2 linked regions of the Diceros bicornis minor genome follow. The protein of the gene in region 1 purifies or fractionates together with the protein of each later gene. This does not show direct contact. Links are inferred from orthologs where the notes say so. Each region holds a gene or a part of one and is shown in the gene's direction. Other genes may lie near its edges. The genes, in order: SAE1 and SUMO3.

Evidence for each region.
Region 2: the proteins of SAE1 (region 1) and SUMO3 purify together in Homo sapiens (affinity purification with mass spectrometry; 3 studies listed by BioGRID and IntAct, with this or other methods). This does not show direct contact. The link is inferred for Diceros bicornis minor from reciprocal best matches to the Homo sapiens genes SAE1 and SUMO3.

What each region holds. Positions count from the first base shown.
Region 1 is NC_080773.1:22,595,381-22,608,083, forward strand, and holds the start of SAE1 (SUMO-activating enzyme subunit 1), read left to right. Parts: upstream 1-7,225; 5' UTR 7,226-7,295; coding exon 7,296-7,393; intron 7,394-12,703. UniProt on the Homo sapiens protein: The heterodimer acts as an E1 ligase for SUMO1, SUMO2, SUMO3, and probably SUMO4. It mediates ATP-dependent activation of SUMO proteins followed by formation of a thioester bond between a SUMO protein and a conserved active site cysteine residue on UBA2/SAE2.
Region 2 is NC_080766.1:44,196,023-44,208,134, reverse strand, and holds the start of SUMO3 (small ubiquitin-related modifier 3), read left to right. Parts: upstream 1-6,398; 5' UTR 6,399-6,484; coding exon 6,485-6,505; intron 6,506-11,766; coding exon 11,767-11,895; intron 11,896-12,112. UniProt on the Homo sapiens protein: Ubiquitin-like protein which can be covalently attached to target lysines either as a monomer or as a lysine-linked polymer. Does not seem to be involved in protein degradation and may function as an antagonist of ubiquitin in the degradation process.

The sequences.
Region 1 (12,703 bases):
TAATTAACACTACTATTAACAATACACTTAGAAATGGGTATGGTGGTACATTTTACGTTATGTATATTTTACCACAATTTAAAAAAAAAACTGCCCTGAAATTTAGTGGCTTGAAGCAGCAACAGTCATTTTATTATCTTTCACAGTATCTGTGGATCAGGAATTCAGGAAGGCTTGGCTGGCTGGTTCTGGAAGAGGACTTTTCATGTGGTTGTAGACCATGAGGCCAGAACTAGAATAGTGGATGGCCAGAGAGCTAGGGGCTGGGCAGAGATCTCTCTGTCTTCTTGTAGTTTCAAGGCTTCTCCATATGGTTTCTTCTCATGGGCTGGTTTGGGCTTCCTTTCAACATGGCAGCCTCAAGGCAATGGGATCGCTTATCTGGCAGCTCAAGGCTCAAACTCAAGTGTTCCCATGAACAGGGTTGAAGCGGCCTCCCCTTTCCTGACAACTCTGAAGTTAAGCAGTGTCTCTTCTGCCACATTCTATTGGTCGAGCAGTCACCAAAGCCCGTCCAGTTTCGAGGGAAGGGAACATAGATGCCCCCACCCCGTCAATGGGAGTAGTGGCAAAGGGATGTTGCGAGAAGAGCATGTAGGATGGGAGATATTGTTGTAGCCGTCTTTGCAAAATGCAATTGGCCACAGTGATGATCAAGAGAACTTAGTGAATCCCCTTGTTGCCATAATTATTTCCTTAGTTGGCATCATTTAACCCTGGGAATATTTGGAGGTAAATATAGAAATGTTCAAGTGACTCAGACTTCTGGAATTAATGTTGAAGAAATGTATGCATATTTGGCTTTTTATACACTGGAAATGTTTAGGAGAATCTGGCCTAGTAGAGTTTCCTGGTGAGATTTGTGGGTCTCAAAAAAAATTCTCAAAACTTTTTCCTGCATTGATTTAAGGACTAATGACTAACTCTAAAATGGTTTAGCCAAAAAACATGTGTGTGTGTGTGATAGAGAGAGAGAGAGAGAGAGAGAAAGAATAAATGTGCCAAAACTTCAAGTGAATGAATCTGGATAAAGGATACTTGAATATTAATTGGACTGTTTCTTTCTGTAAGCTTGAAATTCTTTAAAATAAAAAATTTTGACAAAATAAAATAAAATAAAAATGACCAAATAGTGTCGATTATTCTCATTCTGTCCCTGAACTTCAACCCATCTAGACCCTCATCGCATCCTCTGGAGTAAGGAGTAAGGTCGTGACTGGAGGCTGGATTGAGGGTCAGGAAAGCAGCTAGGAAAGGGCCTTTCCTAGGGGGCCAAGCAATATTTGGAAGAAACATTACAAATTTGAAGAGGCATGAGCTTCTCAAACATGCTCATTTCAAAGAGAGCCTCAAATCATTTTAGAATGAGCAAAGTGATTTTAGAGCAAAGTGATGCTCATTCTGGAAAGGTTGACTGTCATTTTTAGTGGTCAAGATCCTGAACTTTTCATGTTCTCTATTTGACTCAAAGTACAATGGTCGCATGTTGTAATTAACAAATAGATTTCCAGACTTTAAAAAAAAAGTCTATACACCTCAAACTGCTACAATGTAATATGTCAGTTATATCTCAATAAAACAAAAACATTCATGATCTGGTTTCTCAATTGATGCCTTTGTCCCCTTCAGTCACCTGACTTCTCTTCACTCCCCACATCTCTGCTTGTTCATTACTTCCTCTGAGAGATCTTCCCTGACCCCACAGTACAAAATACTCCCCTCCAAGCATCTCCTAGCACAGGGCTGAGCACAGAGGAGGTCCTCGGGGAAATTTGAATGAATGAGTATGTCAGAGAGATTAAATCCAGAAAGATTGAGAGTGTCCGCAGAGAAAGGGAAAGAGAGTCAGAGAGAGAAAGAGAGTTGGGGTCAGGCAAAGAGGGAGAGAGAGAGAGGAGAGTGTGAGGAGAGAGAGTTGGTGGGGGTGGGGTGGGGAGAATACTCAGGTTATCCAACGCTGTGTAACAAGCGATCCCAAAACTTAGTGGCATAAATCAACAGCAATCATTTATTTTGCTTGCAGATCAGCACTCTGGGCAGGGCTTGGCAAGAATGGCTTGTCTCTCGTCCCTCTGGGGTGACTTGACAGTCTGCCAGAGGATCCACTTCCAAGATGGCTCATTCACATGGCTGGCAAGTTGGTGCTGGCTGTTGGCTGCAGCTGTTGGCCTGGCTGAGGGTCAGGAGCTTGGATTCCTCTCCATGTGGACCTCTCCCTGTGCTGTTTTGGCTTCTGCTAGCTTGGAGGCTGGGTTAAGAGCAAGTGTTCCAAGAGATTGACAGTGGAAGCTGCCCATTTCCCTTTTTTTTTTAACCGCTTTACTGTCATATTCACATACCATGCAATTCACCCATTTAGAGTGTACAATTCAGTGGGTTTTGGTATATTATTACTTTTTGTGTGCGTGTGTGTGTGTGTGTGTGAGGAAGATCAGCCCTGAGCTAACATCTGTTGCCAATCCTCCTCTTTTTGCCGAGGAAGACCGGCCCTGGGCTAACATCCTGCCCATCTTCCTCCACTTTATATGAGACGCTGCCACAGCATGGCTTGACAAGCGGTGCGTCGGTATGCACCCGGGATCCGAACCCCAGGCCGCTGCAGCAGAGCGCATGCACTTAACTGCTACACCATGGGGCCAGCCCCTTGGTATACTATTAATTTTTTAAAATTGTGGTAAAAAATATGTAACATAAAATCCACCATTTTAACCATTTATAAATGTACAATTCAGTGGCATTAAGTACATTCACAATTTTATGCAACCATCGCCACTACCTATTTCTTTTTTCATCACCTTTTCACTCAGGGTTCTTTTTTTTTTTTTTTTTTTTTGAGGAAGACCAGCCCTGAGCTAACATTCATGCCAATCCTCCTCCTTTTTTTTTTTTTTCTGAGGAAGACTGGCCCTGAGCTAACATCTATTGCCAATCCTCCTCCCTTTTTTCCCCCCTTTTTCTCCCCAAAGCCCCAGTAGATAGTTGTACGTCATAGTTGCACATTCTTCTAGTTGCTGTATGTGGGACGCAGCCTCAGCATGGCCAGACAAGCGGTGTGTCAGTGCGCACCCAGGATCCGAACCCTGGCCGCCAGCAGATCGTGCACACTTAACCGCTAAGCCATGGGGCCAGCCCCTCAGGGTTCCTTCACTTAGCATGTTTTCAAGGTTCATCCATGTTGTCGTGTGTTATCAGTGCTCCATTCTTTTTCATGGCCAAATAATATTCCCTCATATGGATATTCGGCATTTTGTTTATCCATTCATCTGTTGATGGACACTTGAGTTGTTCCTCCTTTGGCTATTGTGAATAATGCTGCAATGAAGACTGGCATACAAGTATCTGTTTGAGTCCCTGCTTTCAATTCCTCTGGGTATATAGCTAAGAGTGGAATTGCTGGGTCATATGGTATTTCTATGTCTAGCTTTTTGGAGGGGAAGCTGCCTGTTTCTTAAGGCCTGGACCCAGGAATTGGCCCAGTATACACTTCTTTTTTTTTTTTTTTTTTGGCTGAGAAAGATTCACTCTGAGCTAACATCTGTTGCCAATCTTCCTCTCTTTTTTTTTTCTCCCCAAAGCCCCAGTGCATAGAGTATATTCTAGTTATAAGTCCTCCTAGTTCTTCTATGTGAGCCACTGCCACAGCATGGCTACTGACAGATGGGTGGTGTGGTTCCACTCCCAGAAACTGAACTTGGGCCACCAAAAGCAGAAGGCACTGAACTTTAACTGCTAGACCATCAGGGCTGGCTCCCAGCATTCACTTCTATCATATTCTATTGATCAAGCAGTCACAGAACACAGATTCAAGGATAGAGGACATAGATTCCCACCCCCCCCCAATATCGATGAAGAATATCAAAAATGTCATTTTATGGATTTATGGACATGCTTTAAATCTCCCACAGAGTTTCTGGGGGTCAGGGAATGAGGGCCAAGGAGAGACCCTCAGGGAGGCAGAATCAGACAGAGAGGATGAACTGAGCCGCGAGGTCTTGGCACGGGCAGCCATCCTCTCTGCCTGCTTTATTAGTTTTAACCTTTATTTACTCTGCAAAGCTCAGCTGATCATCTACATTCACACAATATCCTTTCCTGACTCCTACACTATCCTTTCTTGACTCCGACACTGTCATAGCTCTCTCTTCTTTTCCTTCACAGCGCTTCGCAAAGTTTCTATTTATATTTATGCCATTATTTTGTCTCTCCCACTGGACTGTAACTGCCTCTAAAGCAGGAGTGTGTCGATTTTTATCATTATTGTACCCTCAGGGCCTGGCACAAAGTCAAACATGTAGTAGGGACGTGGTCAATATTTGCTGAGTAGTTGAATTAGTGAATAATCCTTTGACTGATGAAGTACTGTCTGTCTCCTCTACTAGACTGTCAGCCCCACACAAGGCAAGTTCATATGTCTTTATTCACCTTATTTTCACAGGGCATGGTGCATAATCAATGCGGTAACCAGCCTCTAAGATGGTCCCCAAATGATTCTTTTTTTTTTTGCCTTGTATTCACATTCCTGTATCGTCGTCTCCCACAATGAATAGAGGTGACCCGTGTGTGACCAATAGGATATTGCAGTGAGTGACTTCCAAGGCTGAGTCATCAAAGGCATTGATGCTTTCTTTTTTTTTTTTTGTGAGGAAGATCAGCTCTGAGCTAACATCCATGCCAATCCTCCTCTTTTTTATTTCTTTTTTTTTTCTTTTTGCTGAGGAAGATTGGCGCTGGGCTAACATCTGTGCTCATCTTCCTCCACTTTATATGGGACGCCACCACAGCATGGCCTGACAAGCGATGCATCGGTGTGCGCCTGGGATCTGAACCCAGGCTGCCAGCAGCAGAGCGCACACACTTAACCGCTATGCCACGGGGCTGGCCCTGGCATTGCTGCTTTCAGCTTGCTCTTGTGGATCACTCACTCTGGGGGATGCCAGCTGCCATGTCATGAGGACAACTCCAGCAGCCGGGTGGATAGGCCCACGTGGAGAGAAACTGAGGTCCTCTGCCATCAGCCAACAGCAACTTGCCAGCCATGTGGGTGAGCCACCTTGGAAGGGGATCTTCCACCCACGCCATCAAATGACTGCAGCCTCATGAGAAACCTTGAGCCAGAATTGCCCGGCCAAAGTGCTCCTGAATTCCTCACCCACAGAAACTATAAGAAATAATAAGTGTTTATTGTTGCATTGTCCCTAAATTTTTACATAATTTGCTCTGTATCAATAACCAGTAGAGTAGGCATTGGCCAATTTTTTTGAATGATACTGTGGTCTTGGATGAATGGCTACGTCTTTCTGAGTCCCAGAGTTGTAATCTGTAAAAGCGGAGGAACTATCCACCTCTGAGGTTCACAGAGTACGTACCTTACCCAGCAAGATCAGAGCACATAGTAGGAGCTTAACATACCACCAGCAGTGTAACCCAGTGAAGCATGTGGGCCACACAGCCCGGGTTTGAATCCTAGCTTGACTACTTCTAAGATACAGGACTTAGTTGAGGCTACTAATACTTAACTCTGCTGGACCTCAGAATCCTTAGCTGTGAAATGGGAATATTAAAGAATTTATCTAATTTTGTAAGATTAGAGAAATAATCCATGTGAAGCCCATTTCAGCTCCATGAGAGGGCAGCTATTTTTTTTCTTTTTCACTGCTCTATCCTTAGCACAGAGATCAATTGTTGACACGTGACAAGCGTCAATAAGTATTGTTGAATGAATAATAAAAAGGCACCTTGCCTAAGGAAAATACATATTAGCTATCACTAGCCTACATGGCCGTACCTGATTCCCTACCTGATTCATCTGAGATTTGATCTCTTACCACTTGCCACCCTCACACTCTGCTCCAGCCACCCTGCCCTCTCCACAGTTTCTCCACTATGCTAGCACACTCCAGCTTCAGGGCCTTTGCACCTGCTGTTCCCCCTACCCAGTGTGGAAACTAATAAAAGAAACCTTAACTAATTAGGAGTCAGGAAGGCCTGTAGGGGGAGCTCTCAACCCTATCACACATCCTCAATTACACCAAACAGGAAGACACAGAGCCTTGCATCTTGGACAGGAAGTAAAACTACCTTACTACTAAAGGAAGATTTCTTTCCCTACCGGGCAACAGCCCAGCCAATGAGAAATGCTGCAGCCCAGCCAATGAGAAACGCCACAGCTCAGCCAATGAGAAGCCTGTTGCCACCCTGAACTGTTACTTTTCCCTCATGGACTTTCTTTTAAAACAGCCCCTCCCTACTGCCCTTTTTTTTTTTTTTTTTTTTTAATGAGGAAGATCAGCCCTGAGCTAACATCTGTGCTAATCCTCCTCTTTTTTGCTGAGGAAGACTGGCTCTGAGCTAACATCTATTGCCAATACTCCTCCTTTTTTTCCCCCAAAGCCCCAGTAGATAGTTGTATGTCATAGTTGCACATCATTCTAGTTGCTGCATGTGGGACACAGCCCCAGCATGGCCAGAGACGCGGTGCGTCAGTGTGCGGCCGGGATCTGAACCCGGGCCACCAGTAGCGGAGTGTGTGCACCTAACTGCTAAGCCACGGGGCTGGCCCCCTACTCCCGGTTTTTGTCTACAAAGGCAGCTCCCCTCTGTTGTTGAATTTGCCAATGGTTCCCATAGCATGCACATCTGAAGTTGCAATTCTTTTTACTATTCTTTAATAAACTCCTTTTGAGGATTTTCAAGTCAACTCCAGAAATGTTCCATCTCTCAGTTATCCACATAGCTTGTTCCTTCAGATCTCTGCTCCATGTCACCTTCTCTGACAGACCTTCCCTCACTCTGTAGTCCCATATCCTGCTTTATTTTTCTCCAAAGCATTTATCACAGCCTGATTTATATTTATTTTTCTTTGGGCCCTCCTCAATAGCTTGTAGGCTCCATGAGGGCAGGATTTGTCTATTTTATTTGCCAGCCTATTTCACAGCAGCCCCAATGCGGGGATTTCAGCAGGCGCTCCACAGATATTTGCCGAATTAATAGCCTCATAAATAACTATTTGGGTATCTTTGTGGGGCCATAAGCCGCACCATTTTTCTAGCCAGGATTGGCCGGAGCCGCCATCACGTGACTGTCAGTCCCCGGCCCGCCATTGAGGCTGGGGAGGCCCACGTGATCCCAGGTTCCAGGAGCGGCGCCGGGCGGCGGCAGAGGTACTGCGCAGGCGCGGCCTCTGGCGCAGGCGCAGACGCGGCGCGGGCGCGCGGCCGGCGGCGGTTGGTGGCGCGTGGGGCCGGCGGACGGTTGATGAGAGCAGAGCTCGCGCTCAGGCAGCGAGAGCCGGCGCCATGGTGGAGAAGGAGGAGGCCGGCGGCGGCATCAGCGAGGAAGAGGCGGCGCAGTATGACCGGCAGATCCGTCTGTGGGGATTGGAGGCCCAGAAACGGTCAGGGCCGCTGCGCCTGGTGGGGCGGAGGGTCCGGAGGGGGCGTCTGGCCTGAGGCGTTGGCGGCCCTCCGGGAGCGGGAGAGTCTAATTCGAGGGGAGGAGGCGGGAATTACGTCCCCGGGGATGGTAGCCCGCCTGAGAGGGCTGGAGGGGTTGGTTTGGTATGTTTCTGGAAGGTATGGGAAGCGGGGGCGCCCCAGGGTGATGAGAGGGCGGTTCTGAGTGATTGGAGGCCTCTGGCAGTGGGCGTGGGGGCGTCCTGAGGGATCAGGAGGATTCAGACTCAGGGACTCGGACCCCCGGAAGGGTCGATGGTGGGGTCGAGGTCGGGGCGGTGTGCTTAGGGCATAGGAGAGGCCGGGAATGCAGGGAAAGGGTGAAGGCGGGGGGGCGTAGTTCATTCATTCATAGATGGCGGGCGTCTGTTCTCTGCTGGATGCTCGGGAGACCGGCGAACCGAACAGACGCGAGCTTGCATTCTTGTGGCTTCCGGGGGGTGGATCGATCTGGAAGAATGAGGGTTTTGGAGCAAGTTATTTCGAGTGTGAGTCTGAAGAGGTTGCCCGTGTCTAGGTTTGGGGGTGTGTCCAGGCAGGACAGGTCACTAAAGGTTGGGCGTACCTTGGGTATTGAGGAGTCGTTATCGGAGGGAATATCTTTGAAAGAGATGATTGCTTCCATCAGATATGCATGGAGTACCTGCCATGAGCTCTGTTCTAGGCCCGGAGCGCGTATCAGTGAGCTAAACAGACTGCTTCCCCACGTGGAGCTTACATTCTAGTGTTGGAGACACAGATAAATAATATAATGTTAGGTAATTGCCGTGCCAGGAAGAAAAATAAAGCAGGATCAGAGGATCAGTGAAGGATGGCGAAGTAGGAGAGCTGTTTTGATGGGGTGGCCAGGGAAGGCCTGTGAAGAGGTAGCATTGACCCTCAGACCTGGATGGAAGCAGGAGCCAGGTGGCCATTTGGAAGAACCTTCCCAGCATAAAGAACAGCAAGTGTAAGATCCTGGAGGCCAGAGCACGCTTGGCAGACTAGAGAACGAGTGGCTGAATTGAGGAGTACTTTTTTTTTTCCTAAGTGTGCCAGGAAACCCATTGGAGAGTTTTGGGGCGGAGAAGTAACACGATCTGATTTGTGTTGTAAAAGGCTCACTCTTGTTTGGAGGATAGATTGAAGTGGGCAGAAGTGGAAATAAGGATTTACCGTTTAGGAGACTGCTGCAAGAATCCACTTGAGGCATGAATAGTGGTGGCTTGGGACCCTAGAGAAGGGGTCAAATCTGTATTCTGGATATATTTTGAAGGTGGAGGGGGCAGGTTTTGCTGAGGGATTCAGTGTGTGGGGTATGAGAGGCAGAACTCAAGGGTGACTCCAAGGTTTTTGGCCCAAGGGATGGAAAGATGGAATTGCCATTTACTGAGATGGGAAAAAACTGTAGGGAAGAATCAGGAGTTCTCTTTTGGGCTTACGTTTTAGATGTTTATTATATATCTAAGTAGAAGTATGTGAGTGAGTTCAGAGATGAAGGCTGGGTGATGGGGAGGGTCTGTGATGTGAATGAGTACAGAGTATAGAATTAATTGATCTAAGGGTCGGGGAGGCAGGCAGGTTAATTTAGTTTGAGGGGTGGAAGCTTCTAGATTTTTTTGGTGAGAGAGAGAGAGTGTGTGTGTGTGGTGGTGGCTGGGGGGAGGTGGGGGTTACTGCAGGCTCATTTCAGGTGTGTGGGGTCTTCTGCGATTGAGGGGGGAGTTGTCATCCTGAGGCATTAGCGAGCATTGGTCGAGGGTTGAAGGCACCTGAAATGAAAAATTAGAAATTAAATGATGAGAATGGCCCTGAAGACATAGGTGGGGTTGGTTGATTTTAGGAACTACAGTTTGAAGGACTGGAGTGTTAAGAGGTCCTGAAGGGTGGGGGAGGGGATCCTAAGTACTAGAAGGGTTAACCCTAGGGATTGGGGGCAGCAGTTTTGTTTGAAGTAGGGTGAAGTAAAGTTGGTGAGGATTAAACTGGAATGTATCGAGGGAGCTGTCAGCAGGTTAGGAGTGATTTCTCTCTGGAGCACTAAGTAAGGCACGGGGGCTTCTGAGGAGGAGATGACCTAAGGGGCAAATCAAAGTCAGGATGTGGAATTCTTGGGAGATGGGAGTTATTCTGAGGGAGTGGAGACTGTGGAGTGGAGACTGAGGGAGTGCTGAACTCGGTGGAGAACCTGAAAAAGATTGGCTGAGAGTCCTGGGAGGGAAGGAAGTGGTTATCTATAATTTGGAATCCGTATTTGTGGACAGTCTTAGAGTTTATTAAAGTGCTGTCATGTCCATTTTTCAGCTGGTGTCATAGCAGCTCTTTGGAGTTGGAAGGGCAGTGATTTCCTCCCCTCTACAGATAGGAAGGAGGCTCCACAAAGCAAATTGACTTGCCTCTAAGGGAACTCGAGGTGGCCAGGAGAACTCTGGGGACTGGGGTTCCTTGGTGAAGTAGAAGGCGGCCTGGGAATCAGAGGCTGCATTCTGGCTACAGTTTTGCCTCTGACTGTGATGTTGGACCAAGGTTGTCAGAGAACTGGAAGAGAGAGTAATAATAATAAAAAGGGCCTTCAGGAGAACTCATACAGTCTAGAGGTTAAAAATGGGCTGTGGGCCGGCCCCATGGCTTAGCGGTTAATTAAGTGTGTGCGCTCCACTGCTGGCAGCCCGGGTTCGGATCCCGGGCGCGCACCGACACACCGCTTCTCCGGCCATGCTGGGGCCGCGTCCCACATACAGCAACTAGAAGGATGTGCAACTGTGATATGCAGCTATCTACTGGGGCTTTGGGGAAAAAAAAAAGGAGGATTGGAGATAGATGTTAGCTCAGAGCCGGTCTTCCTCAGCAAAAAGAGGAGGATTAGCACTCATGTTAGCTCAGGGCTGATCTTCCTCACACACACACAAAAAAAGGGCTGTATTTCTCGTACAGTGTTTTTTTACATTTTTAAAAATCAGTTGCCAGTGTTTAAAAATCCAGAGAATTGGCCAAATTTGGGACAGTTTGAGTATCAGAAAGAATAAAATTAACTTCATTTAACCGCTACGCCATGGGGCTGGCCCTCCATAGAATTTCTAATTTATGTCTTTTGAAAAATAGAAAAGTCAGACATCCCCGCGTTGGTTGGAGCTAAGTAGCGGCTGCGTCTTCCTCTTTTACATCTTACTTTGCCGTTGTCTCCATCAGTTCAGCTTCCCTCGTTGACGTAATTGCCCGACCCCTGTAAGCATGTGAGTTTGCATCTCTTGCTCTGGTGCGTAGCCCATTTTATGGATGAAGGTCAAGGAAGGGAGCCAACTCGCCCAAGGTCTCACACCAAGTAACTAGAAGAAGTAGGACTTGAATCTAAGTCACTCGCTTCAGGTTCACTGCTGTGTCCATGACGGCTCATTTTCCTCAATAGGGACTCATTCCTTCTGTCAGATTAACATAGAGGCCAGCGTCGAAGCCGGCAGCTGTGTGTGTTCTCAGAATGTGTGCCTCAGCGGTTTTTGCACTGCCTTTCACAGCAAAGGCATGTCTATTTTTTCTTCTTCCACTCCACAGTAATTTATCCCCTATCTAGGAGTGAGGAAGGGAGGGTGACTGGAAAGAGGGCAGTAGATTATAAGCTCCCTGAGGGCAAGCACTTTATCAGTGTCTGGAAATGAAGGTAAGGGTTTGACTGGCCTCTGTTAAGTTTCCAGCGCTTGCGGGTTGATAGACATTCAGGTATTTGTTGAGTGAATGAAATGATTGTACATTGCGAAGACCTGCAGGACACCTGGGTTGCTCTGCTAACTAGCCGTCTGACCTTGGGGCAGTCACGCAGTTTCTTGGCCTTTGGTTCCCCATCTGCAAAAAGGAGGGCTGAGTGTGACTGCATCTCTCAGGGCTCTTTCAACTCTGAAATTCTGACTTTACAAAGAAGGGACTGCAAGAGCTTCCCTGTTTGCAAACATGTTACCCAGCAACTGCTGCTGTTCCAGAGGACTTCTCTAGACACGCATTTGCCGTAAGAGTGACCGAGCATGTACCGTGTGTAGAGGCCAGTCCTGGTTGTTCATATAAGGACAGTTTATTGTGGTTGATAGTGGTTAATGGTTGAGTTTGTTTGTTTTGTGGTGAGGAAGGTTGGCCCTGAGCTAACATGCACCCATCTTCCTCTATTTTGTATCGGGTATGCTGCCGCAGCATGGTTTGATGAGCGGTGTGTAGGTCGGCGCCCGGGATCTGAACCTGCAAACCCCTGGCCACCGAAGCGGAGTGGACGAACTTAACCGCTATGCCACCGGGCCAACGCCTAATGGTTGAGTTTGAATCTCCGCTCCAGAACTTCTTAGTTATTCAGCCTTGGATACATATCTTAACTTCTCTGCGCTTCCGTTTTCTCCATTTGTCAAGTGGAGAGAATAGAATTGACTTTATTAGACTGCTGGGAAGTGAATGAGATAATGCACAAAGAGTGTCTGTGCACAGAAAGCATTCAGTAAATTAGAGCTACAATTATTTGACAAGTATAAATCACCAGCGACAAAAGAAGGGAAACTACATAGGAAATAGGTTGAGATAATAAGGCAAATGTAAAACAGGAGTCAGTGGGATAAGTGGAGACTCCAGAAGGACGAGGAAGGCTGTAGGAGGAGCAGATTTGCCTAAGTAGATCGCAGTCGGGGAGCAGTCTTCAGTTCTGTTTTGGATTCTGACAAGACTTTTAGTTAATATAATGAACAGGCAGTTGGATGGAGCAGGATTGTAGATTAAAATGAAAAGTACTGTTAAGTGAAGAAGAGTATCTCTAGAAGGAGAAAATGGTCAAATCTGTCAAATGCTGATGGCCCCACCATTTGTCTGGTTGCACAGACCGGAAACCTAGGAGTCCTGTATTCCTCTCTGTCCCTTATACCCACATCCAGGCTATTGGGAAGTCCTACGGGCTCTGCTTCAAAGTGTGTCTCATCCCTCTTCATTTCTTAGTCCAAGCCACACCCAGCATTTCTTCCCCTCAGCAGTCTCCTCACTGGTCTCCCCTGTTCCTCTTTATAATCTGTCCTCCACATAACAGCCAAACTGATTTAAATTTAAAAATTGGATCACAACAGTCCTGCTTAGAGCCTTCCAGTGATGTCCTGTTATACTCAGAATCCGAAGCTTTTAACATCCATTGCTTTTCATGCCCTGCCTTATCTGACCTCGCCTCCATCTCTCTGTCTCGCTCCATTGAAGCTACTTGAATCTTTGTGTTCCTTGAATATGCTAAAGCTCTCTCTGGCCTCAGAGACTTTGTGCTT
Region 2 (12,112 bases), on another chromosome or scaffold:
GGGTTGCCCCAGGGCCTAAGCAGCAAGAGGGAAAAATAAGGGATTTTCTTACACTTTCTGGACTACAGGGTCCCTTTACCCTGGTTTCTGCAGCTAGAAAGATGGATTTTCTTCTTGAGGTTTTGGGTCCATTGTGCTGCCACAGTGCAGCTCCACCAGTGGGATCTCTTTGGGAGAGGTTTGGGTGAGCAAAAAACCAGAAAACAAAACAAACACCTGGGATTTAACCCACACACTTTAGCTTGCAGGGTCTCTTTCTCTCTGTCCAAAGAGAGAGGATTTCTCTTGGAGTTTTTGCCAGTGTACATGTTGTGCAATTCCATACTGGGTCACCCTCAGGTCAAAGTTGGGAGATCAAAGAGGAAGAATGCTTGTAAAGTCACCCCGTCAAGTCTTTCTTTAAGTTTTAGGTCCCCTCTCTGATTTGCCTGCTATTATTAACCTTCAGAGTCCTCAAACAGTTGCTTTCTCTGTCTTGTCCACATCAGAAGTCTCTCTTCATTTTTGCAAGATATTTTGCTGGGTATAGAAATCTGAGTTTAAAGCCTTTCAAGGTGTCATTCCAGTGTCCTCATTGTCTTCTGGCTTGCACAGCATTTGCATCAGGTGTGCTGTGATTCTCATCACTGTTCCTCTGTACGTATGTGTCTTTTTTCCTTCTATCTACTTCAAGATGTTTTCTTTACCTTTAGTTTTTGTCAGTTCGAAGATGATGTGTCTTGGTGTACCTTTTTATTATATATGTATATTTTAAAATTCTGGTTGGGGTTTTCTGAATTTGGATTTGTGGTGTGGTATCTTTCATTATTTTTGGCAAATTCTTAGCCATTATTTTTTCAAATATTTCTTCTGCACTATTCTCTCTTCTTCTGTTACTCCAATTACACATATGTTAGACCATTTGAAATTATTCCAGGGCTTTTGTTTGCTCTGTTCTGTCCTGCCCTCACCCCAATGTTTTCCTCTTTGTTTTGAGTTTGGGTTATTTCTCTGGCTTTAGCTTGAAGTTCACTGGTTCTTTCCTTGTCTGTGTTGAGCCTACTCACGAGCTTGTGGAAGGCATTCTTCATCTCTCTTACTCTGTTTTTTATTTCTAGCATTTCCACTGGACTCTTTCTCATAGTCTCCATCTCTGTGCTGAAATCCCCCACCTTTTCATGGTATTTATCTTTTCCACTAGAGCCTTAACATAAATCCTCTCCGACAATCCCAGCATCTGAGTCATATCTGAATCTTGTTCTATTGATTTGCATGTCTTTTTTTTTTTTTTTTTGCAGGGAAAGAGTTACCCCGAGCTAACACCTGTTGCCAATCTTCCTCTTTTTTTTTTTTTTCTCCTCAAAGCCCCAGTACATGGTTGTATATTCTAGTTGTAGGTCATTCTAGTTCTATGTGAGCTGCCACCACAGCACGGCAACTGACAGACAGGTGGTGTGGTTCTGCGACCAGGGAGTGAACCTGGGCTGCCAAACTGGCAAGCACCTAACTTTTAACCACTAGGCCACCAGGGCTGGCTCTGATTTTCGTGTCTTGATTGTGGGGTTTTTTCCTTCTTTTTTGTGTGTTTTGTAATTGTTTACTGAAAGCCAGATATTGTCTGTAGGAAATAGAGACTGAGGTTAATAGTATTTATATCTGGAAATGGACATTCCTCTTCTTCTGCTTGGCTGCCATTGTAGGGGTTGAGTCAAGCAGGCTAGGAGTTGACTGGATCTGGGTTTTGTGGTTGCTGTGGTTACCTTTAGTGTCCACTCACCTCAAATTCCTCTAGCAGCACCTTGTGCTGAGGGTGGAGGATGGTTTGCTGGAGGGTTTTTCTTAATGTTCCTGCTCCACCCTCAACTCTAGGCCTTCTCTGTGCACCTGCACCTTGGGGAGGGTCTCTGTCCAGGCTCTTGCCCCTCACTGTGATGGACTGCTCCAGGCTGTTCCTTGGTGCTGGCTATCCTGGAATGGGGTGTGGCAAGTAGAACTCTCCGTTGCACTGGTCCAGGCCCACATTCAGGCAAGCCTATGTCCTTGGAACCTGGGGGGGGAGCTTAATCAGTGATCCTGTTTCCTCTTCAGAGACAGAAGACCTCCCAAAGGGCTGCACTCAGGATGTATTCTGACAATCAGCACAGTGAAATGACACCTTTGAAGGCTTTAAACGCTGACTTCTATATCCAGCAAAATATCTTTTGAAAATGAAGGAGAGACTTCTGGGGTGAACAAGACAGGTAAGCAACTATCTGAGGACTCTGAAAAGTTAATAATAGCAGGCAGATTAGAGATGGAACCCAAAACTTAGAGGAAGACAAGAAAGCTTTGACGCCAGCTCTCTGATTTTTATACAGCAAAATTTTCTCTGTATTTTATACAATAGTTTTATTGGGTATAGAACTGTATGTAGGCATTTTCCTTCAGCACGTTGTGGATGTTATTCCATTGTCGCTTGGCTTCCATGTTTCTGTTGCAAAGTCAGATGTCTTTTTGTTTCTCCTTTCAATATCTGGCTGATATCCTCCTTGTCTTTGGTCTTCAGCAGGCTAACTGTCATATACCCAGGTGTGGCTGTCTTTGTATTTATTCTGATTTGGGTTAGCAGTTTCTTTGTAGTATGTGGTTTATTATCTTTGGTGAATTTTGAAAAATTCTCTTTCATTCTCTCTTCAAATATGGCTTCTGGCCTATTCTTTTCTCTCCTTCTGAGTCTCCATTTTACAAATATGTTAGATATTTCCACCATATTGTATATTGCTTTTAGGCCTTTTACTGTATTTTCCATACTTTTTCTCTCTCTGCTTCTGTCTAAATATTTTCTTCTGACCTATCTTCCAGTTCATAATCATCTCTTCCACTGTGTCTAATCTGTTGTTAAACCCATCTACTGAATTCATAATTTCAGAAATTGTATTTTTGTTCTCAAATTTCCATTTCTTTTTTTTTATAGATTCTAATTTTCTGCTGAAAATTTCCATCTTATTATCTATTTTCCTTAACATATTAATTATTTAAAATAATTAAAGTTACTTTAAAGTCTGTGTCCGATAATGCCAATACTCTGTCTCCTGTGGGGTTATTACTATTTCTTGGTTTTGGATCATTTGTCTCCTGGTTTTCTTTGCAAGCTTTTATTTAATTCTGGATATTGTGTATGAAGATATTTTAGTTAACTTGAGGCCCTAGATGATGCTATTTTCCTCCAGAGATTTTCTTTGCTTCAGGCTGGCAATAGGAAGGAGAACAGGTCAGCATAGCCCAATCTGGGAGTGAGCTGTTTGGAAGCTGGGTTTCAGTCTTTGTGAGGAGTGACCTATTTACACTTCAGCCTTACTCCTCTATTGTAGGTCCCAGTGCTCCATTTGAAGGTCCAGGTTATTTATCATAGCCTATCTTGTAGTAGGCCATGCTCAATTATTGTCTCCCCATCCTATGAGACTCAAAAGCTCTGCTCAGTGTCTCAACTTCTTGTCCACTGCATATATTATGGACTGCATTGTGTCTCTCTTCCTCCCTCTGTCCCACACTCCCTCCCTCCCTCTTCCTCTCCCTATATCCATGCACACACAGAGGAAAGGCCATGTGATGATACAGAGAGGTGGCAGCCCTCTACAAGCCAAGGGGAGAGCCCTCACCAGAAATCAACCCTGTTGGCACCTTGATCTTGGACTTCTAGCCTCCAGAACTGTGAGAAAATAAATGTTGTTTAAGCCATCCAGTCTGTGGTATTTTGTTATGGCAGCCCCAGCTGACTAATATAGCATACTAATCACCAAATGCCTCAGAGGGAAAAACCACTTCCCTTCTTTCTGGGATCTTCACCCCTCAAAGTCTTCTCTGTTTTAGTAGCTACCTGATATCTTCAAACAGATTTTCAAAATATTTTATACAGATTTTCTAGTTGTTCAAAACCACAATAGTTTAACAATTTGCTTTAAAAAATTCATCAACATCATATGAGCATCTTTTCCTGTTATCAACTACTCTTTTTTTTACACATTCTTTAAATAGTGATACAGCCTTTCATTATATGGACCATAGTTTCACTAATTTCTTATTGTAACACATTTAGATATTGTGTTTCATCAATTCTAAGTTACATATTTTTCACACTTCAATAGGTCTGAAACCAGGATGTGTCTTCCATCCGTAACCCATCATAGTTTAATGTGTATGTGACATACACAATATTATGCTTTATAATTGATGGTGTCTTCCAGTTGATGATGGGCATGAACACTGCCCATGTGAAGTCACACCAGAGCCAACAATCTTGGGGGATGGTTCTGATCCCCATTGTCCATCTCTGTCCTGGATGGGGCTTGTTCCTGCAGGCTCCCCTCTCCCAGAAGCACAGTTAGAGCTGGCCATTCTACCTAGGGATTCTCTGACAGAGGTGGGTCATAGTGCAGATTCCAGGATAAAAAGGACCTTGGACCTGGCTGAGATAGGAGGTTGGCTCTGACCACACCTTTCATGGGGAGACTTTGTTAACCTGTGACATGGCAGCCCCATTTTGGGGAGGCCCCTCCCCTCTCCTAAATGGTGCCTCTAGCCAAGAAAGTGAATTTTTAAGAGTCAAAGATGGTTTGTGAAATTAAGGTCCATGAAAACATGGCTCCATAGCTTTGTGATGTTAACAGGAAATGAGTGGAATCCAGCTGGCTGGGCCTTACTCAGACAGGATGGAAACGGTTCAGTCTCTTAGGGTCAAATCCAGACCCTGCTATTTCCTAGCTGCATGACTCTGTGCAGTCCACCTTCCCCCCAAACCTTCGTTTCCTAATTGGCAAAATAGGGATCATGAGGGTCCTTGCACCAGAGCGTTGTGAGGCTTGAGTGGGATGATGCAAGCTTGGCACCAGGCTTGGCACACCCTGAGTGTGAGATAAATTTCAGCTGTCACTGGTCCATTTCATCTGAAGGCATTAGGATTACAGACAGGGAGGATAGGAAGAGCCAGGGGCTTCTAAGGATGCATGCCTCAAGTAGCAAAAGGATGTCCTGACCAAGGCCCCCATTCTCCAGCACATTCCCCATGGCCGCCTGAGCACCTGTCTAGGCAGTGTTTCACCCTGGGTTTGCCCCGACAGTCAGTAGAGCACACTGGTCAAGCTCACTGACCAACTGCCCATGCTCAAATCCCAGTCATACTGCTTACCAACGCTGGGATCTCAGGCATGTAATCTAACCTCTGAGTGCCTCAAGTTCCTCACTTGTAGAATCGGTTATTGTGAGGACTAGGTGCGGAGTCCTGGCATCTGGTGCAGTGTGCACTCCAGAAACGTTAGCAAAACGGTCACAGGAGGGCCTCCTGCATCTGTCCCACCATCTTCCCCAAGGGTTCAGCTTCCACTAGCCAGGTTCGGAAGGCCAAACGGGACTAGACAAGGGGAGAAAAGGGAGCTGCAGAGAGTGAAGCCTGGCTAAGCTCAGAGTGAGAAGTGGACAGAAAGACATTCCACATCTCTGGTCCCTGTCTTAGGTCTCTGTCCCCCTGGAGCTCTGGGTGAAGGAGGGCAGACTGGAGTTTGTGTGGGCTTGTGAAATGAACAAATGCGATGTGTCCTTAGTGGATGGAGCTGACAGGTGGGTCAGCCTTGGAGCGCTTTCTTCCTTCACCCCACAGTTCTTCATGACCTTTGGCTCCTGCTCCTCCATGAAGGTGAATGGAGCCTTTTCGAGTAGTGGGGTGCCTCTCAAGGCACCACTCACTCACCCAGGTCCCCTTTGGCCACTGGAGGTGGTTCACCAGACTGGCCTTATTTTCCTTTTTCGCTCTGAGAAACGCACTCTCTACACAGGAAATAAATGGGTGCGCCTGGGCTGGCTGGCTGAGCTAAAGTGGGCGAGGGACCAGGTCGGTTGGCGAGGAACCTAAGGCACTGAGGAGGCGGACAGGCTGTCCTCAGGCCCCAAGATAATGCGCCAGTCCTGGTCCCTGACCCCACAACAACCCCGGCCAAATGGCCTGGACTCTGAGCGCTCCCCAGGCCCCTCGCTGCCCAGACCTCCCCCCAGGCCCCTGTGCAACCCCCTGGGGACCTCGGTGTCCTGTATGCCACCCTGGGCCCTCGGTGCTCCAGCGCCCCCCGGGTCCTAGTGCGCCCCCGATGCCCTGTGAGCCCCCCGGTGTCCCGCGCCCCCACAGCTCTGAGAGCGCGTCTGGTGCTGTACAGGCATCCCCACCCCCGACTCCAAGCCCTCCGCGCCCCAGAGTGTCAGGACCGCCAGGTTCACGCCGGGCCCCGCCCCGTGACGCATTTCCAACGGTCAGGAACCTCGGCCCGGCCCGGCGCGCGCCCGACGCCCCGGGGGGCGCGCATCGTGCACGCGCAACGCCACGTGACCCCCTCGCCGACCAACCCGCACGCCGAGATTTGGGGGGCAAAGCGCGGTCCCGCGAGCAGTTGCGGCGGGAGAGCGGCGGGCCGAGAGCGTGACTCGCCCGCTCCGGCGCTGCCTGCTTCCCCCTCGCCGCCTCCCGCCGCCGCCCGCAGCCATGTCCGAGGAGAAGCCCAAGGTAAGGGCCAGCGGGCGCGTGCCGGTCCCGGTCCTCGGCCCCCCGCCCGCGCCGCCACCGCCCGCGCACCAGGCACCCTCCGCGGCCGGGTGCGACCTCCGGGATCAGAGCGGCGCCGGCGAGGCCTCCCCGCGCCCCGCGCCCCCCTCGGCTCCCCTCCCCCCCGCGCCTCTCGGCTCCCCTCCCCCCGCTCTGTGGCGCTCCGCCCCCGCCCCGGCTCCGCCCCCGACAGCCCAGGCTCCGCCCCGCCCTACGCCCAGGCCCCGCCCCCGCCCAGGCTCCGCCCCGACTGCCACGCCCTCCGAGCTCCGCCCCCGTGATTGCCCGGGCCCCGCCCCCGGCTAGGCCCCGCCCCGTCCCGGGAGCCCCGCCCGGGATGGAATTTGGACGTGGTCTGGGGCGGGCGGGGACTTTCCTCGCAGGGAACCTCCCCTTCGCCGAGATCCCCCGCCACTACGGCGCTCTCCTAGCCGGGACCCGCCGACTCCGGGAGCCTTGCGGCGTCTGGGCCCACACTCCCCAGGAGCCCTTGCTCGGTTTCACGTCCACGCCCACCCGCGCTCGAACCCCGGGGTGCGGGGATCTCGCACGCTGCCAACCCCCTTCGCGGAGAAACGCTCCCTCGTCTTCCGTCGTTACCCCGCTCCGGGGCCTTCCAGCCTTGGCTTTACCCCCCAATCACGACTTCAACGGGAAGCCCACGTCCCCACTTTCTCTCCAGGGCCGCCCCTCCTCAGGACCCCCTCCCTCGCGGAGAGCCTCCCCCACTACAGCTCCTCCCGTCGGGACCGCGGTCCGCGGGTCCGGCCCTGGACCTGTCTGCTGAGGCGTCTCCAGGGGGCACCCTCCCCAGCCCTCATTGCGGAGCGAGAGGGCGCCGAGAGGGCGCACCTGGGGACAGGCGGCGAGGCCACCTGACCTGTCCGTGCACACTGCCAACCTTTACCGCAGCCCGTCCCGCCGCGCCCTCGGGTGTGCACCCGCCATTCTGCTCTTCCCCACGCTGTCCTCAGGTGTGCGCCCACCCCCCCCATCACTGTCCTCAGGTGTGCACCCACCCCTTCCCATCGCTGTCCTCAGGTGTGCACCCACCCCCCCATCGCTGTCCTCAGGTGCGCCCCCCTCCCCGTCGCTGTCCTCCGGTGTGCACCTGCCCCTCCTCATCTCTTCCTGGGGATTTTTGCCCACCCCTCTCCGTGGTGCCCTCTGGTGTGCCTCCACCTGTCCCCATTTGGCTCTCCTCACTCCGATGCCTTGGCTGTCAGTTCTTGGGGAGGTCCACGGTTGTAACTGCAAAAGCAAGTTCCTGAAGCTTTTTGTCTGCACCGTTGGGGTCTGTTGTTTTGACCAAATGGAAGATCTGCTGTTGAGTTGAATGCTTTGCACATAGGCTTCCTCTGATACCAGCCTGGTGCTGGAGATTGCACCCCCTCCACAGCTGAGACTGCGGCCTGGCGTGTCCCCAGTGCACGCAGGTGGCAGAGCTGGGGTTGGGGTGGACCTGCACGGAGCCCGTGGTCTGGAGGGAGAGTGGAAGCCTGCACTCTGCCCGCTGTGTTTTGAGAAAAGGTCACACCCCAGGAAAGCCTCCAGATGCAGATGGAGCCGCCATGGCTTTTTACATTTTGGTGCCAACTCAGCTTTTTATACCACTCCTCCAGGCCAAAGGTAAATGCTTGCCTTTGTTTTTCTGGGTGGCTTCCTCTTACTGAAGTTTAAATACAATGAAATACATATGATACTCATTTCTTCAGTGTGTGTAAACTTAACTCTCCCATGTCTTCAACATCCATGGTCCAATTCAGTTGAATAAACTTGTTTGAACTGCTTCCAAAACGACTAAATGGTTGTGCCTCACTCACACCTCATTCTTGCCTACCGTGCCCTCGGTGCCTGCTGGCTCTCGTGCTGCTCTCTCCTCTGGGCCTGGAGAGGAGGGGTAGGAGACTCACTCCCAAGCTGTCCTGGGGGTGGAAAGAAAACCTTGTGGGTCGATTCGGAAAACAGTTTCTGCCCCCTCTGGATAGGCGGGGGATTGACGGTAGTGAATTGTGGTCATTGTTTTCAGGGTTTCTTTTATTTCTTTTACTCTTTGTTTATTAGGAATTCACCAGGGGTCTCGGACAGGCTGCTCATTCTTGGTTTCCCTCTGTTAGAGGGGAGAGGTGCCTGGCGCCTTCTCCGCCTGCACCAGTCTCCCCAGGAAGCCAGGGCACCCAGTGGCCCTGTGAGGCTCTCCTGCTGCCTTCCGCTGCCTGGTCTGCAGCCCCTGCCCTGTGGTTCTGTTTGTTCTGTGTTCTGGCCCCTGCATCTGTTTGTTTTGAACACATCCATATCTTTTCTTTAAAAAAGCAAATGTGTCCTCTATCTAAATGCAAAAGAATGAAGTTGGATCCTTCTTAACACCACATACAAAAATTAACTCAAAATGGATCAAGGACCTAAATGTAAGACCCAAAACAGTAATATTCCTAAGAGAAAACAGGACAAAAGCTGTACGACATGGGATTTGGCAATGATTTCTTAGATATGACACCAGAGGCAACAACAAAAATAGACAAATTGGACTTCATGAAAATTTAAAAATTTTGTGCGTCAAAAGACACTATGAACAGAATCAAAAGGCAGCCACAGAAGGGGAGAAGATATTTGCAAATCGCACATCTGATAAGGGGTTAATATTCAGAATATATAGAGAACTCCTACAACTTAATGACAACAATTAAAAAAAACAAGCTAACTAATTCAAAAATGGGCAGAGGACTTGAACAGACCTTTTTACAGAGAAGACATAGAAATGGCCAAAGGAACATGAAAAGATGCTCAAAACGTCAGTAATCATTAGAGAAGCGCAATTCGCAACTACAGTGAGACACCGCCTCACACCTACTGGGATGGCTACTATCAAAAAAATAGAAAACAATAAATGTTGATGGGGGTGTGGAACCCTTGTGCACGGCTGGTTGGAATGTGAAATGGTGCAGCTGCTGTGGAAAACAGTATGGAGGGTCCTCAAAAAATTAAAAATAGAACTACCATACAACCCTGCAATTCCACTTCTGGATATTTATCCAAAAGAATTGGAAGCAGAGTCTCAAAGAGATATTTGTACACCCATGTTCACCGCAGCACTATTCACAAAGCCAAAAGGTGGAAGCAACCCAAGTGCCCATTGATGCGTAAGTGGATAAACAAAATGTGGTCTATCCATACAATGGAATATTATTCAGCTTTAAAAAGGAGTGAAATTCTGACATATGCTACAACATGGATGAATCTTGAGGATGTTATGCTGAGTAAAGTAAGCCAGTCACAAAAAAGACAAATACTGTATAATCTGCTTATATGAGCTTCCTAGAATAGTCAAAATCCTAGAGACAGAAAGGAGAATGATGAGTGCCAGGGGCTGGGGGAGGGGGATGAGGAGTTAATGTTTAATGGGGGCAGCGTTTCGGTTTTACGGGATGGAAAGAGTTCTGGAGATGGATGATGATGATGGTTGTATGACATTCTGAATGTATTTAATACCACTGAAAATGGTTAAAATGATAAATTTTATGTTATTTGTATTGTAACATAGTAAAAAAAATTGAAAAACAATCATATCTCTAAATGCAGTGTGGTACCCTGGATTGGATCCTGGAACAGAAAAAGGACGTTAGTGGAAAAAGTAGTGAAATACCAAAACAGCTTGGCGTTTCGTTGCTGGTGATGTGCCCATGTTGGTTTCTTAGGTGTGACAGTGTACCATGGGTGTGTGCTATGTTAACATAGGGGTAACTGGGCGAGGGGTATGCAGGAGCTCTCTCCATCTCTGTTTTGCAACTCTTCTGTAAATGTAAAATTATTTCAAAATGAAGTCTTTATTTGAAAAAAAAAGCATATGCATCCTTAGTCCAAGGGCTGGGGACCCCAGCTCCATCCTGGCCTCGGGTCATTGAGTGCCCCTTTTTGTATCGCCTCCTTCTCTCCGTACTAGAGTCCGAGGTTCAGAGAGGGAGGGCCGAGCTGGCCCCCAGCTGCGGTGGGTGTAAGGGCCACCCCAGGATGTCTGCCTTCAGCCCCAGTGCTTGAGTCTCACCCTCCTGGGGCCACTTCTCGGCCACTTGGAGCTCCGGACAGAGCACACCCACTTGGGATCTCCGGGAGCCGAAGAACTGATGTGGCCTTGAGGGAATCCTGGTCCCCTCTGTGAGGCTATTCACAGGGGCTCAGGGAGGGGAGCCAGGGCCCTGCCCCGCCCGGGGAGAAAAGAGGCGTGGACACGGAGGGAGCATGGAATCCTCCCAGAGCTTGGCCCTCAGTCCTACGGGTGGGCAGCTCCTCCAGCCACAGGACAGATGACCGCATGACAGATGACACACAGGGAAGAGATGGGAGTGTCAGCAGGAGGACATGCAAAAAACACTGCGATTTCCATCAAAACTGTACTTTCAGATGGACTGGGGTCAGCTTCGTGGTTTTGTTCAAAAATAAACGACTCCTATTCCCACGCGGTGCCAGGTACATGAGGTGCGCTGGCCCGTGGAGCAGGACGCTGGGCGTCCCTCTTGGGTCACAGGCCTCACTCTCAGCCTGAGCCGCCCTGCTGGCCCCGATCCTGGACTCGGACTTCCTGCATCACTTCAGAATGTGTGTCCCAGTTTCGTGATTGTTCAGGAGCTTTGAGTGTATTGTGAGTTTTGTGAAGATAAAATGCCCTGAATTACTCCCAAGGAGGTCGGACTGGCCGAAACTAGAAACTGCATGAGGGACGGGGCCCCTCGCGCCTGTCGTGGGCAGCGAGGAGCTGAAAGCTCCGTGCACACTGGACCTCCCAGCACGACTACACCTGCCATGGTTTCCTCTGTCGTAAAGGGGTTTTTTTTTGTTTTATTTTACCAGTCCTAAATAAGTATAGATAACCTGTGAATATGTGTTTTTACTAGTTTCATAAGAGTAACCTTATAACAAAGATGGATTTCTCTGTTTTTTCCTAGATTTATTAAGCAGATTTTTTCTTTGAATTAACAATCTGTGAAAACTCTGTAGATTTGCATTGCATTTCCTTATACGTGGATGCTTAACAAATGGAAATTAAAATAAATTCTGTATAAGAATAAAAACCACATGAGTGACTCTGGATTGCTAGAGAATTTTAAGAATTAGGTTGGTTTTAATGACTTAAAAAAAAAACCCAGCAATTACCTAAGACTTGCCCTTTAAAATGGTGGCTATTTTGAGACGCGGTGTTGAGGCCCAGTTTCACATCTCTTTTGCAGGAGGGAGTGAAGACAGAGAACGACCACATCAACCTGAAGGTGGCTGGGCAGGACGGCTCTGTGGTCCAGTTCAAAATCAAGAGACACACCCCGCTGAGCAAGCTGATGAAGGCCTACTGCGAGAGGCAGGTGCGCCTGGGCCGGAGAGCAGCCACCCAGAGACTGAGCGCCTTTGCCTTTAAAAATGAGCAGTGACTCATTTCACTTAAATTAGCAGTGACTCAACATCACCAGATGTCCAAGCTGTTCAGGGTTCCATCATCCTGGAAGCATGTGTGTGCACGTCTGTGTGTTAGTTTGCGTGCAGGTGTGTGTGTGCGCTCCTGTGTGTGTCTGCATGCATGTG